Macaca mulatta: one gene and its partners. The protein of the gene in region 3 interacts with the protein of the main gene of each other region in a pairwise test. Links are inferred from orthologs where the notes say so. Each region holds a gene or a part of one and is shown on either strand. Other genes may lie near its edges.

Region 1 (3,746 bases), on a different chromosome or scaffold from region 3:
AAGGATGGCCTGGTGAGCGTCAAATGATGTGTAGCTGGAGGCATGCAAGAGGAGACAGAGAACTCAGGGCCGCCCACCCCTAATCAGACCACCACCCATAGCCACACAATGTTTCTTTGTTGTTTCAATTACAGCGCATAGAATGTTTTAAAATAACACTTCTGATACCAAATTTTAAATATGGTATCATCTCAATGGTGCAAATAATGCATTAAAAATGGGCTGGCAGGAAATATGCCAACCTGCAGTTACTGCCTCTAGGAAGAACGAGTGGTAATAATCATCTTTTTGCTTCTTCATTCTTTTCCATTTTCTAGTTTTCTGTAACCATGTATTATCAGGGAAAAAAGCATACTTTTCAAAATGAATTCCATATTATAGGAGAAATAAAGCCAGTTATTTCCCCAAATAATCCCTGGCCAAGGAGGACCCTCGAGTCAAATAGATAGATATATAAAGGATTCTCTGTTACTGTTAAGACTTCCTTCGCCTAGCTGTGAGTTCCCCAATTCCTTGCTCCACACTTCAGGACCAGGACCCTGTGAGGATTGAGATGGAAACACGTGGATGGGAAGAAAGGGTATTTTCATTCTTTCTTGAGTTACATTGATTCTCTTCCCTGCTTCTGAATGACTCTGAGGCCTCCTCGGCGCTACCGTCTTTATTTCCTACCATCTCTTCCTGTATATGCTCTTTGCTCTTGTTTTCATATTCCTTCCCTGGTTCGTTTCCCTTCTCCCCTCTCATCCCACTCCTCAAGCTCCTCCTCTTCCTTTCTTCAAGTCACCCATATTGGAGGCAGGAGGGATTTGCAGGATGGGAGGGGGAGAAGGTTGGGTAAATGAAAATATTCCAATTCTATAGTTGAACACTTCCAGGCTCAAGCTTTGGGTCATGACGATGGCTGTCCAGGGAAGGAAGCAAAAGAGAAGATAAAAAATAAGAAAAGCAACCCCTATTGCAAATGTTAATACATTTCCAGTGATTATCTCTTGGTCATGATGGGTGTCACAGTGTGAAAGACTCTCTGTTGTCACAGTCACTGACAACAGAAAAAAATCCCCCAAAGTCAGTGTCACAGGTTACTGTCCAGTGTGTCATTACCATCAGGATCGAATCCTAAAAACTAAGAAAAATTTTTTTAAAAATTAAGGAGCAATTTTCTTTTAAAGTATTCTTATAGGAAATCACGACATCTTTTTTCACAAGAACAGAGACAAAGAAAGCAGATTCACCTAAAGGCACAATACCTGCCAAAAAACCACTCCACTACTTGACCTCACTGGGGAGTTCCTCTTCGCAATTTCTTAGTTCACTGGGAACTTTGCCAGCACCAAGGCCAACAACATTCCTGAAGATGTCATTTCCACCTCAGCACACCCTCCCCTATTTACTGGCTCAGTAAACACCGGGCCCATGAACTAATGAACAAGTGAATGAATGAGAAGGCAGCAGCACTCTGCCGGGGTGCTTACCTCTTCTGGTTCATGGAGGCCACCTGGAGCCACTCGTTGGTGCTGGGGTTGTAGGAATGCGCAGCAGAGATCTCCTGGCTAGTGATCCTGTACCCGCCCACTATGAAGAGGTAGTTGTCCAGGATGGCAGACCCATAGCCCCTGACATTGACCAGGTCGGGAGGAAGGTTGTTGGCCAGCGGGAACCAACGCTCAGTCATCTCTTCGTACCTGAGCATGGACGGGGGCTCCCCCTGGTAGGGGTGAGGGGCCAGGGGTCCCCCCAGGAAGTCCCCGAGGGCCACGAGGACAGGAGTCCCAGTCATCCGGGCCTCCCTCAGCCTCTGCTTCAGGCTGACATCCCCCGGAGCTTGGGGAGGAGACCCCAGGAGGTGGAACTGGGGCTTGCACAGCACCTCGTGGAAGTGGACGACCATGAAGCGCAGGCAGGCCTCCTGCAGGTCGGGCAGCCCGTACACCTGCGCCAGGCGGTACATCTCCAGGCAGTTGTTGAGCCGCACCTGGGACAGCAGCAGCTGCAGCAGAGACGTGACCTGCAGGAAGGAGGCCGCCTCCACCAGCTCGGACAGCAGGCTCACCTCATCCATCTCCTCATCCTCGTCCACCCCGCCGCCCTTCTCCCCGCGCGGGCCCAGGAGCCAGCCTTCGCGGGCCCCGCCGGCGTTGATGAAGTCCAGCACCAGCCTCAGGCCCGGCGCGCTGAGGCCGCGCAGCTGCTGCACCTCCGGGCCGCCGGCCTCCTGGCTCAGGGCCTCGCGCATGCCGGAGCGGTAGAGGGCGCGGAAGTAGTCGCTTTGCTCGATGAGCTTCCTCTTGCTCACCGGGTAGCAGCGATCCTCCAGGCGGATCTGCACCATCTCCTCGGCCGACATGGCTGGGGGCCCCGGGGCGGCGGCGCTCACCGCCAGATCTGCGCGCCGGCCTCCCCGCCCCCACGCGCGCGCCGGTTCCGGGCGGGGCGCCGAGGGATGGCGGCCCGGGAGGAGCGGCGAGGTGAGGGCCGCCCGCGCTCGCCCGGCCTCTCCAGCGGCCCCTCCTCCCGGGGCCCGCTCCCGCGAGGCGGCGGCTCTGCCCTTCTCCTTTTCCTCAGCGCCAAAAAAGGGCCGGCGGAGCGCGCCGGGCGTCCTCGCGCGGGCTCTCCCAGGCGGCGCCAGGCGGGAAGGGAATCCCAGCCCCCAGCCCGCAGCCTTCTCCCCGGCCGCCCTTCTCACTTCCGCCCGCGGGACCCCGGCCGCCGGCCTGACCTGCAGGCTGGATCCGGCCCTCGGGGAGGCCCGGGAGGCTGCGGGCCTGGGCGCCCCGGCTGCGGACGCGCAGCTGCGGGAGGCGGAGGGCGCGCGTCCCCGCAGCCTCTCGGCACGCCCGGGGCGCGCGGCTCCGCCGCCTGCCAGGGGCTGCAGCGATGCTCCGGGGTACCCCAGGGAGAAGAAATTAGTTTTCTCTCCCACGCTGCTTTACACGGGCTAAAGAAAAAGAAATGAACGTGGGAGGAAAGAGGAGGCAGTCTCTGGTCCAGGGAGACAAAAAGGCATCAAATCTAGGATCGTCCTTCTGGCCCAGTCCGGCATCGAGTGTCAGTGGGCTGAGGCAAGCAGGCAATCTGTGGACATGTTGGTGGCAATGTTGGTGGCACGTAGAGCTGATTCTCTGGTAGGGTCGTCGCGTAGGAGCCATCTTACAGGAGGTCCAGGCAGATGGCAGCAGGTTCTCAGAGGAATCGGGTTGGGAGGCAGGGGACCTTGCATTTGCCACTGGGGCCCGTTGTTCTCCCTAAGTTATTAAAAGAAAGATGAAAGCGCAGTTCGACTAAATAAAGTTACATCACGTGGCTTCTGGTTTTAAACCATGTTTTCTATGAGCCATTGCTTGTCTACTTCAGTCTGCTTGGACTAGCCATTACGGAATGTTATACTGTCGCAAAAGATCTGACAAAATCAGCTCATAGATGTCTGCAAGAGGTAGCTTTTCTTGTCACCCCGTTTCTCCACCTACCCTGCCCCCATCATCTGAGGACTATTAAGAGAGATCACACGTTCAGTTTGGCTGAGCGCGATGGCTCACGCCTGTAATCCCAGCACTGGGGGAGGCCAGGGTGGGTAGATCACGAGGTCAGGAGTTCGAGACCAGCCTGGCCAACATGGTGAAACCCCGTCTTTACTAAAAATACAAAAATTAGCCGGGTGTGGTGGCACGCGCCTGTAATCCCAGCTATTCCGGAGGCTGAGGCAGGAGAATTGCTGGAACCCAGGAGGCGGAGGTTGCAGGGAGCCG
Region 2 (3,746 bases), on a different chromosome or scaffold from region 3:
GATGTGTACGTTGTGTGTGGGAAGACAGGGTGCTGTGTCAAGACTGACGGGCCTAGGATCTGAGGAGGGACCTTCAGGAGCCCTTATGCCCCTTTCCTCCCCTTCCCCCACTGCCCAGGCCCTGGACAGAGACAGGAGGAGAGAAAAAGGAAAGCAAAGCCCTGCGGTGCTTGGGCTGGCAGGGAGTGGCTGAGACAAAGCTGGGCCAGGCTGTCCTGGGGCTGGGCTCTGGTCCACACAGAAGTGGAGTCAGAGTAGTGAGGGGTTACTCTGGGCATTGAGCGCATTGGTAATGACCTCCCCCAGCCCAGGCCCAGGCCCCTCTGCGAGACAGGAGTGGGAAACTGGAAGAGGGATGTAGAGAGAGAAAGAAATCCTTGCTGGAAACTCGGACTGCCCAGACATGGCCCTGGTCTCAGTGTTTCATTTCCCCCTTGGCATGTGCCCTTCCCTGGTCCCCTTCCTGGGGAGGGTCAGTGGTGCCCCGAGATGCGGATGGTGAGCCCTTCCTCCACGTATCCGCACAGGTACATGGCAGGGGTTGGGACAGAAAACCTCCAAGGTCCTGAAGACCCTGCCTCACTTCATGGTGACACATGAGTGTGCCAGATGCATGCGAGGCCGGTGGGCTGCAGGTGCTGACACGCGGCTGACGGCGCCCTCCGAGGATGCAGTCTGGCGCGTCTGTGGCTCTGCTACCCACTGTGTGCTTGTATGGGTGCCAGCACGTGTGGGGATCGGTGGTTCCGAGCGTCTGAGGCCCTAGTATCCCAATGTCCCTCTTAGCTTCCTGCCACTCCCAGCTGTGTTGCTGGGCCTGGGGGCTGCTGAGATAGCTGCCCTATCCTCAGGAGCGCTCCTGTAACTCCTTAGAACCCTTAGAAAGGCTTCCTGCTCTTTTTCCACCAAAATCTGCTTCTGAGTTGGAATCAGGGCATATCATGGTGGAACTGGATAGGTCCCAGGCTTGGGAGAGGCCACAGGGAGAAGAAGCTGGAGACGGAGCTGGCCTGGGAGTCAGGCATGCACTAAAGCTGCCCTTCCAGAGCGAGGCTTCACCCCGTCTGCACATGACAAGGCTGCCCTACTCTGTCCTAGATTTGACCACTTTCCTCTCCCAAGAACAGGGGCTTGAGGGTGAGCATGGTCTGGGGCTCCTCTGCCTGCACCCCCAGGGACCAGCACGTGTGGGAAGAGAGCATGGATTTGTAGCTAGAGTCAGTGACTAGCTTTCGAGGCTTGGACACATCACCTCTATGAGGATGGTGTGTGTGCTCTATGCGCAGGTGTGTGAAGAATGGGGTGCTCTCTGTTTGTGGGTTTCTCAGGGGCATGTGGTGCCTGAATGACCCCTAAGCCCAAACCACTGCATTTCCTCCCTAGGTGGGGGGTTTTAGAGTTAGGCCCTGTCTCCTCAAGCTTCTCTCTTCTTCCCCTCACCCTCCTAACTCAGCAGGGATTGTATCCTAGGGGACTGTTTGCTTCTCCACTCACCTGTGCCTGCCCTGGGAGCTCCTGCTGGCCCATGCCGTCCAGCAGGAAGAGGGCAGCTGGGAACACTGGACCCCCGTGCTCTCCTCCTTCTCAACCTCTGCTCTTTGCTCTCTGTTCTTCCAAGAGGCTTTGAATCCGGCAAGCGGCGGAGCTGGAGACAGGGGTCTGCTCCTCTTTGTCCCCCTTCTGAGTTGAGCCTCGGTTTTCCCATCTCTAAAATGGGGAGCCCCTGCTACTCCCTTTGAAAGGCCAGAAAAATGTGTGCGTCTGACAGCTTGGCTGGGTGTCTGGGGTCGCTGGCCCAGCAAGGAGTTCTGAGGCCGGGGAGAGGAGGAGGACCGAGGTGCTCTCCTGCATCTGGTTCCTAGTTCCTGGTGAGCACCGCGCCGGAGCCAGGGAAGGCTCACCCCACGGCGCCCCACGCTGCCTGCCCCGCCGACCTCGGACCGGCCCCATTCGCGGCTGGGGAGGTGGCGCTGGAGCTCGGACCCGGGCCCAGCCCGCCTCTGCCCGGAGCCGCTACCGCCCTCCCTGCCCAGGGCCCGGCCGGGCCCCGGGCGACACCTACCTCACCAGGATGGCCACCCCCACGTCCTCGCAGTTGGCATAGAGCCGGGCCCACGTAGCCTGCACCGCCTTCCTCTCCGCCTCGGACAGCTCCTCGCTCCGCTCCCTGCGCTCGATCTCCATCTCGCCTGGCACTTTCTCCATGAGGAGCTCCAAGCCCAGCCCGGCTTTGCTCGGCGGCAGCGGTGGCGGGGCGCGGGGCGCTGGGCGCGGGGCGCGGGGCGCCGGGAGCCGGGGCCGGCTGCGTGCGCGGCGGGCGGGCGAGGGGTAGAGCGCGGAGGGAGGGAGCGTGTGTCTGTGCGCGCCGGGTGTGTGTGTGTGTGCGTGCGTGTGTGCAGGGTATATGTGCGGGGGGCGGGGGACCGCCAGCGGGGGGGCGGGGATGTGGTCTGCTGGAAAATGTTTAAAAAAACAAATCCTCTCCAAACCCCCAGCCCCGTGTGGGTGAGCCAATGCCGGCAAGGTGAAGGCTGCTCGGGGTGGGGGCGATGCGACTGCCGCCCGCCCACCCGCAGGCCACGGCGGAGTTGCACCGCGGGGCGGGGCTCGGGTAGGTGTGGCCGGGGCGCTGGGGGTCCCCGGAGGAATGGGCGGTCACGCGGCGCTGGGCGGCGCGGGCCGCACAGGAGTGCGCCGGGGCGGGCGCGAGCTGGGAGCGCTGGGTCCCGGGTCCCAATGCTTGCGGCGTCGCGTGTGTGCGCGTGCAGACCCTTCCTGCGGCGGGGAACTGACTTAAAGTCCAACACTCCCGAGCTTTCGCGGCAAGGCCGACCGCCAGCCCGCCCGTGTGGGCGAACGCGAGCCCCTCCGGCGGCCGCCGCGGACCGAGCTGGGCTCCCCTCGCCCGGGCCTCTCCCCCAGCCCCCGAGCCAGCAGCTGGGGGCCGCGGCGCCACTCCCACAGCTCTGGACGCCCAGGCTCTGAGGGGTTAGCACGGGTCGTTCCCCCCACCCTCCTACCGCCCCGGCTGTCGGAACTTGAGCGCACCTCCGACCTCGGGCGCCAGAGGCCTGCTCCCCCTTTCCTACCCCCCAGCACCGCCATGCCCTTGGTGCACGCACGCGGCGGCGGCGGCCAGAAGTCCCCCGTGGCTTATGAATGACACGGACAGGCAAGAACCAGGCGCTGCCCTGAATTCTGGCCCAGCTGGTGGCGGAGGAAGTCCGGAGAGGCACCGGATAGGGCAGAAGGACCTGGCAGTCGAAAAGTCTTGAGGAAGCCGCAGGCCGCTGGGGACACCTCAGCCAGCACCAAAGGCCCCATTCTGGGCCTAGGGGAAGCAAATCCTTCCTCTTGGTGGGCCCTGTCCAGGGCAGTGTGAGATTGGGCCAGAGGTGGGGGAGAATCCCATGGTGGCTGCCCTGCAGCGGCTGCTCAGTCCTGGGGACAGCCTGAGGCCAGACAGGACCTGGCAGTGTCAGGAAGAGATGTCACTCAGGCTCCCGGTGACCCTTGTCCTCGCTCAAGACTTGATGTCCCATTGCCCGAGCATTGCTAAGGGTTGGCTCTGCGCTTTCGCTATGGTTCGTGTATTTATTCTTAAAATCTGACTTTAAGGTCCGGGGGAGGCAAGGAGAACTCACCCTGGCCAGCCTCAGTTGCAGCCTGGGCCCTTCCTGGGAGCTCAGGGTTCAGGTGCCTGGGGGACCTTGGGGCAGTGCCTCTGACACTGCTTCCCCCTTGCT
Region 3 (3,746 bases):
CATTTTACTCAAGAAACATGTTTCTTCTCTACTGCTTTGGCTTCAGTCCTCCTGACATTTCCACACTCTAGCAACAGCTCCCTCTTTGAACCACCAGAAAAGCCTGCTACCTGGCCCTCCTGCCACGTTATGTCCTCCATGTGTTGCAAGAAGCCTCTTCCTTAAGTCAATTTAAAAAAAAAATCACAAATACCTGCTTCAAATCTTTTCCCTTTCCTTTCATTCCTTACTTCTTTTTTCTTTCTTTTTTGGAGGGGGAATTATTGTTAATTGATAATATTTAATATTTAAACTCCTTAGATTCATATATGACTTCATACATTGGCTCCAACTAATTTTTTTCCAGTTTCATATCCTGGTACTCAAAGTCATGTACATTATTTTCTTGCATAAAATGTCTCATCTTTCTCTAGAAATAACAGTCCTTGCCATAAATTCCTGCTTTTGTAACATGAAACGGCTTTCCTTTGGAGTGAGACCACTTTTCACCTGAAACATGCTCATCCTTCAACATCCAGCTTGTCTCCTCCTTAGGAAAACATCCTCTGTTCTGTTGGTGATACTGAAGGCAGTAAGTACCCTGAAAATGTCTTTGTAAAAGTTTTGCCTTTAGTATTGTGATTACCCATTCACCTGTCTATCCCTTTCCAGAAATGTGAGCTCCTCAAGGGCAGGCTCCAAGTCTGACTTTCCTACTGTGCACATACGATGGTACTTGCCACGCCAAGAAACAAATCCTTACTGTTTGGGGAAAAAACAAAAGTACAAAGAATACAACTCTAATATGAACAAAACGAATGATAATATGCTGTTTAGAAAGTATTGAAAAACCAGGCACATTGGCTCACACCTTGGGAGGCCGAAGTGTGGTGGATTGCTTGAGCCCAGGAGTCGGAGGCTAGCCCGGGCAACATAGTGAGACCCCGTCTCTATTAAAAAACAAACGAACAAAAAAACACAGCCCTGGCAACATAGTGAGACCCCGTCTCTATTAAAAAAAAAAATACAACAATTAGCTGGGCATGGTAGATTGTGCCTGTAGTTCCAGCTTTTCAGGAGGCTGAGAAAGGAGGACTGCTTGAGCCCACGAGGTCGAGGCTACAGTGAGCTGTGATCATGCCACAGCACGCCAGCCTGGGTGACAGGATAAGATCCTGTCTCAAAAAAAAAAAAAAAAAAAAAAAAAAAATGTGTTGAGGTCATTTCTTTCATATCATGTGTTAAATAGGCTTCGAAGGGCTGGCCTTGAAACCTGACAGCTTTGAGCCATTGTGTTTCCATGGGAGTAGGCATTCTAGGTTCCAAACCGCGCACTTACAAATGGACTTTGGAACACAACGTGCTACCTCAAGGCTCCACCTGGCCACACGGCAGGCACTGAGGCTGGGAGGCAGCCCCCAGACAGATGAGTGTCCGCTCCTCTCTGAGAGGTGAATGAGCCCGAGGGGTCCTGACCTACGGAGTTGTGAGGAGCAGCGGCGCCAACGACGCAGGCCCGCCCCAGCCCGCCAGCGAGCCGCCCATGCCCTCTGCCCGCCTGGCCCGCCTGGGCCCTCGCCATGCTGATCACCGTGTACTGCGTGCGGAGGGACCTCTCCGAGGCCACCTTCTCCCTCCAGGTCAGCCCCGACTTTGAGCTCCGAAACTTCAAGGTCCTCTGCGAGGCGGAGTCCAGAGTCCCCGCCGAAGAGATCCAGATCATCCACATGGAGCGACTCCTCATCGAGGACCACTGTTCCCTGGGCTCCTACGGCCTCAAAGATGGCGATGTCGTGGTTTTACTGCAGAAGGACAATGTGGGACCCCGGGCTCCAGGGCGTGCCCCGAACCAGCCTCGTATAGACTTCAGCGGCATTGCGGTGCCCGGGACGTCCAGCTCCCGCCCGCAGCACCCAGGGCAGCAGCAGCAGCGCACACCCGCCGCCCAGCGGTCACACGGCCTGGCCTCCGGAGAGACGGTGGGCGTCCCGCAAGGTCTGGGCAGCCCCGGCCTGATCCGCAGCATGCTGCTCTCCAACCCGCACGATCTGTCGCTGCTCAAGGAACGCAACCCCCCCTTGGCGGAAGCCCTGCTCAGCGGAAGCCTTGAGACCTTTTCTCAGGTGCTGATGGCGCAGCAAAGGGAAAAGGCCTTGAGAGAGCAAGAGAGGCTTCATCTCTACACGGCCGACCCCCTGGACCGGGAAGCTCAGGCCAAAATAGAAGAGGAAATCAGGCAGCAGAACATTGAAGAAAACATGAATATAGCGATAGAAGAGGCCCCCGAGAGTTTCGGACAAGTGACGATGCTCTATATTAACTGCAAAGTGAATGGGCATCCTTTGAAGGCTTTTGTTGATTCTGGCGCCCAGATGACCATTATGAGCCAGGCTTGTGCCGAGCGATGTAACATCATGAGGCTGGTGGACCGACGGTGGGCTGGGGTTGCTAAAGGAGTGGGCACACAGAGAATTATTGGCCGTGTTCATCTAGCTCAGATTCAAATTGAAGGTGATTTCTTACAGTGCTCTTTCTCCATACTTGAGGATCAACCCATGGATATGCTTCTAGGCCTAGATATGCTCCGGAGACATCAATGTTCCATCGATTTGAAGAAAAATGTGCTGGTCATCGGCACCACTGGCACGCAGACTTACTTTCTTCCTGAGGGAGAGTTGCCCTTATGCTCTAGGATGGTAAATGGGAAAGATGAGCCTTCGGACAAGGAAATTACACATTCGGTCATGGATTCAGGACGAAAAGAGCATTAAAGCACGTTATAAATATGTCACCACCTTGAGGGAGGCTCAGGTCCCCGGAAATTATACAGTAAGAGCTCACTGGCAATGTAATCATTAAAAATCATCAGTAACAACTAAACCTGGCCTTGGGACTACGTTCTCAGATGGGTAACTACATCAATCCTGATTCCTTGGTCTTGGTCCCTCTTCCATTTCCCTTGTCCAGAGATCACTGAAAGACATCCTGGGAAGGCTCTGGAGGCTCCAGCTGATTTCCAGATAATCCATGAAAAAGAAAACCAGCTTCTTCCTTTAGAGACACTATCCTATCAGATTACAGGTGGCTTATTCAAATTATTGCTATTTTGTAGAATTCCCTGGAAAAATGCTATGGCTGCAGACCTTACAAGGCATCCACATAAAACTATTTCACATCGGCACTAACAATTCTTTATATTGAAATATGCCCATTTTCACAGGTTTTGTTTTCTTTCGGAAAGGCATTAGAAATGGTGGGTCAATTACACTGTGATGTTAACTAATACTTACACATGTCTGTTTGGGGCAGCATAAGGACCAATTTCCTCATATTTACACCTTCCCTTCTCTTGGATCCCCTGCAGTCACTCTGCAATCCACAGCTAAAGACTATTTTTGCCACATTTGAGAAAGTGGATTTATCTCCAAGGATGCTACATTAATTTTCTATTTCCCCTGCATTCAAAGAAACTCTCACTGTAAAACAAAGGCAATAAATTAGATTTTTTTTAAAAAAAAAAGAAATTATGGTACTTCTTGGGAGTCAAGTTGTACAGTAGTGGGAGTGAGAGGTAGGCACAGGCAGTGGTCCAGGTTCTCTAATACTCATTGCAACTAGATCATCTCTCTCTCGCTTTTTTAAAGTAAAAATCTGCTTTATACATTAAGCTGCTGCTACATCAATATTGTTTGAACAAATGTGTTCACTGTTCAAATAACATTTGAAAACTTTTGAATGAGAAGATCTCTAAGGCCTCATTCAGAATT

What was found.
Region 1: the proteins of DDI1 (region 3) and KLHL42 interact in binary tests that used the Homo sapiens proteins (3 or more experiments, as listed by UniProt). The two-hybrid records come from large-scale screens. The link is inferred for Macaca mulatta from reciprocal best matches to the Homo sapiens genes DDI1 and KLHL42.
Region 2: the proteins of DDI1 (region 3) and CYGB interact in binary tests that used the Homo sapiens proteins (3 or more experiments, as listed by UniProt). The two-hybrid records come from large-scale screens. The link is inferred for Macaca mulatta from reciprocal best matches to the Homo sapiens genes DDI1 and CYGB.

Annotation. Positions count from the first base shown.
Region 1 is NC_133416.1:30,134,241-30,137,986, reverse strand, and holds the start of KLHL42 (kelch-like protein 42), read right to left. Parts: upstream 2,388-3,746; 5' UTR 2,348-2,387; coding exon 1,476-2,347; intron 1-1,475. UniProt on the Homo sapiens protein: Substrate-specific adapter of a BCR (BTB-CUL3-RBX1) E3 ubiquitin-protein ligase complex required for mitotic progression and cytokinesis. The BCR(KLHL42) E3 ubiquitin ligase complex mediates the ubiquitination and subsequent degradation of KATNA1.
Region 2 is NC_133421.1:86,289,523-86,293,268, forward strand, and holds the start of CYGB (cytoglobin), read right to left. Parts: upstream 2,298-3,746; 5' UTR 2,206-2,297; coding exon 2,063-2,205; exon of another isoform or gene 1,955-2,062; intron 1-1,954. Other genes in the region: photoreceptor disk component PRCD, read left to right, coding at 2,461-2,611. UniProt on the Homo sapiens protein: Probable multifunctional globin with a hexacoordinated heme iron required for the catalysis of various reactions depending on redox condition of the cell as well as oxygen availability.
Region 3 is NC_133419.1:104,893,163-104,896,908, forward strand, and holds the start of DDI1 (protein DDI1 homolog 1), read left to right. Parts: upstream 1-1,318; 5' UTR 1,319-1,559; coding exon 1,560-2,750; 3' UTR 2,751-3,746. UniProt on the Homo sapiens protein: Probable aspartic protease. Seems to act as a proteasomal shuttle which links the proteasome and replication fork proteins like RTF2. Required, with DDI2, for cellular survival following replication stress.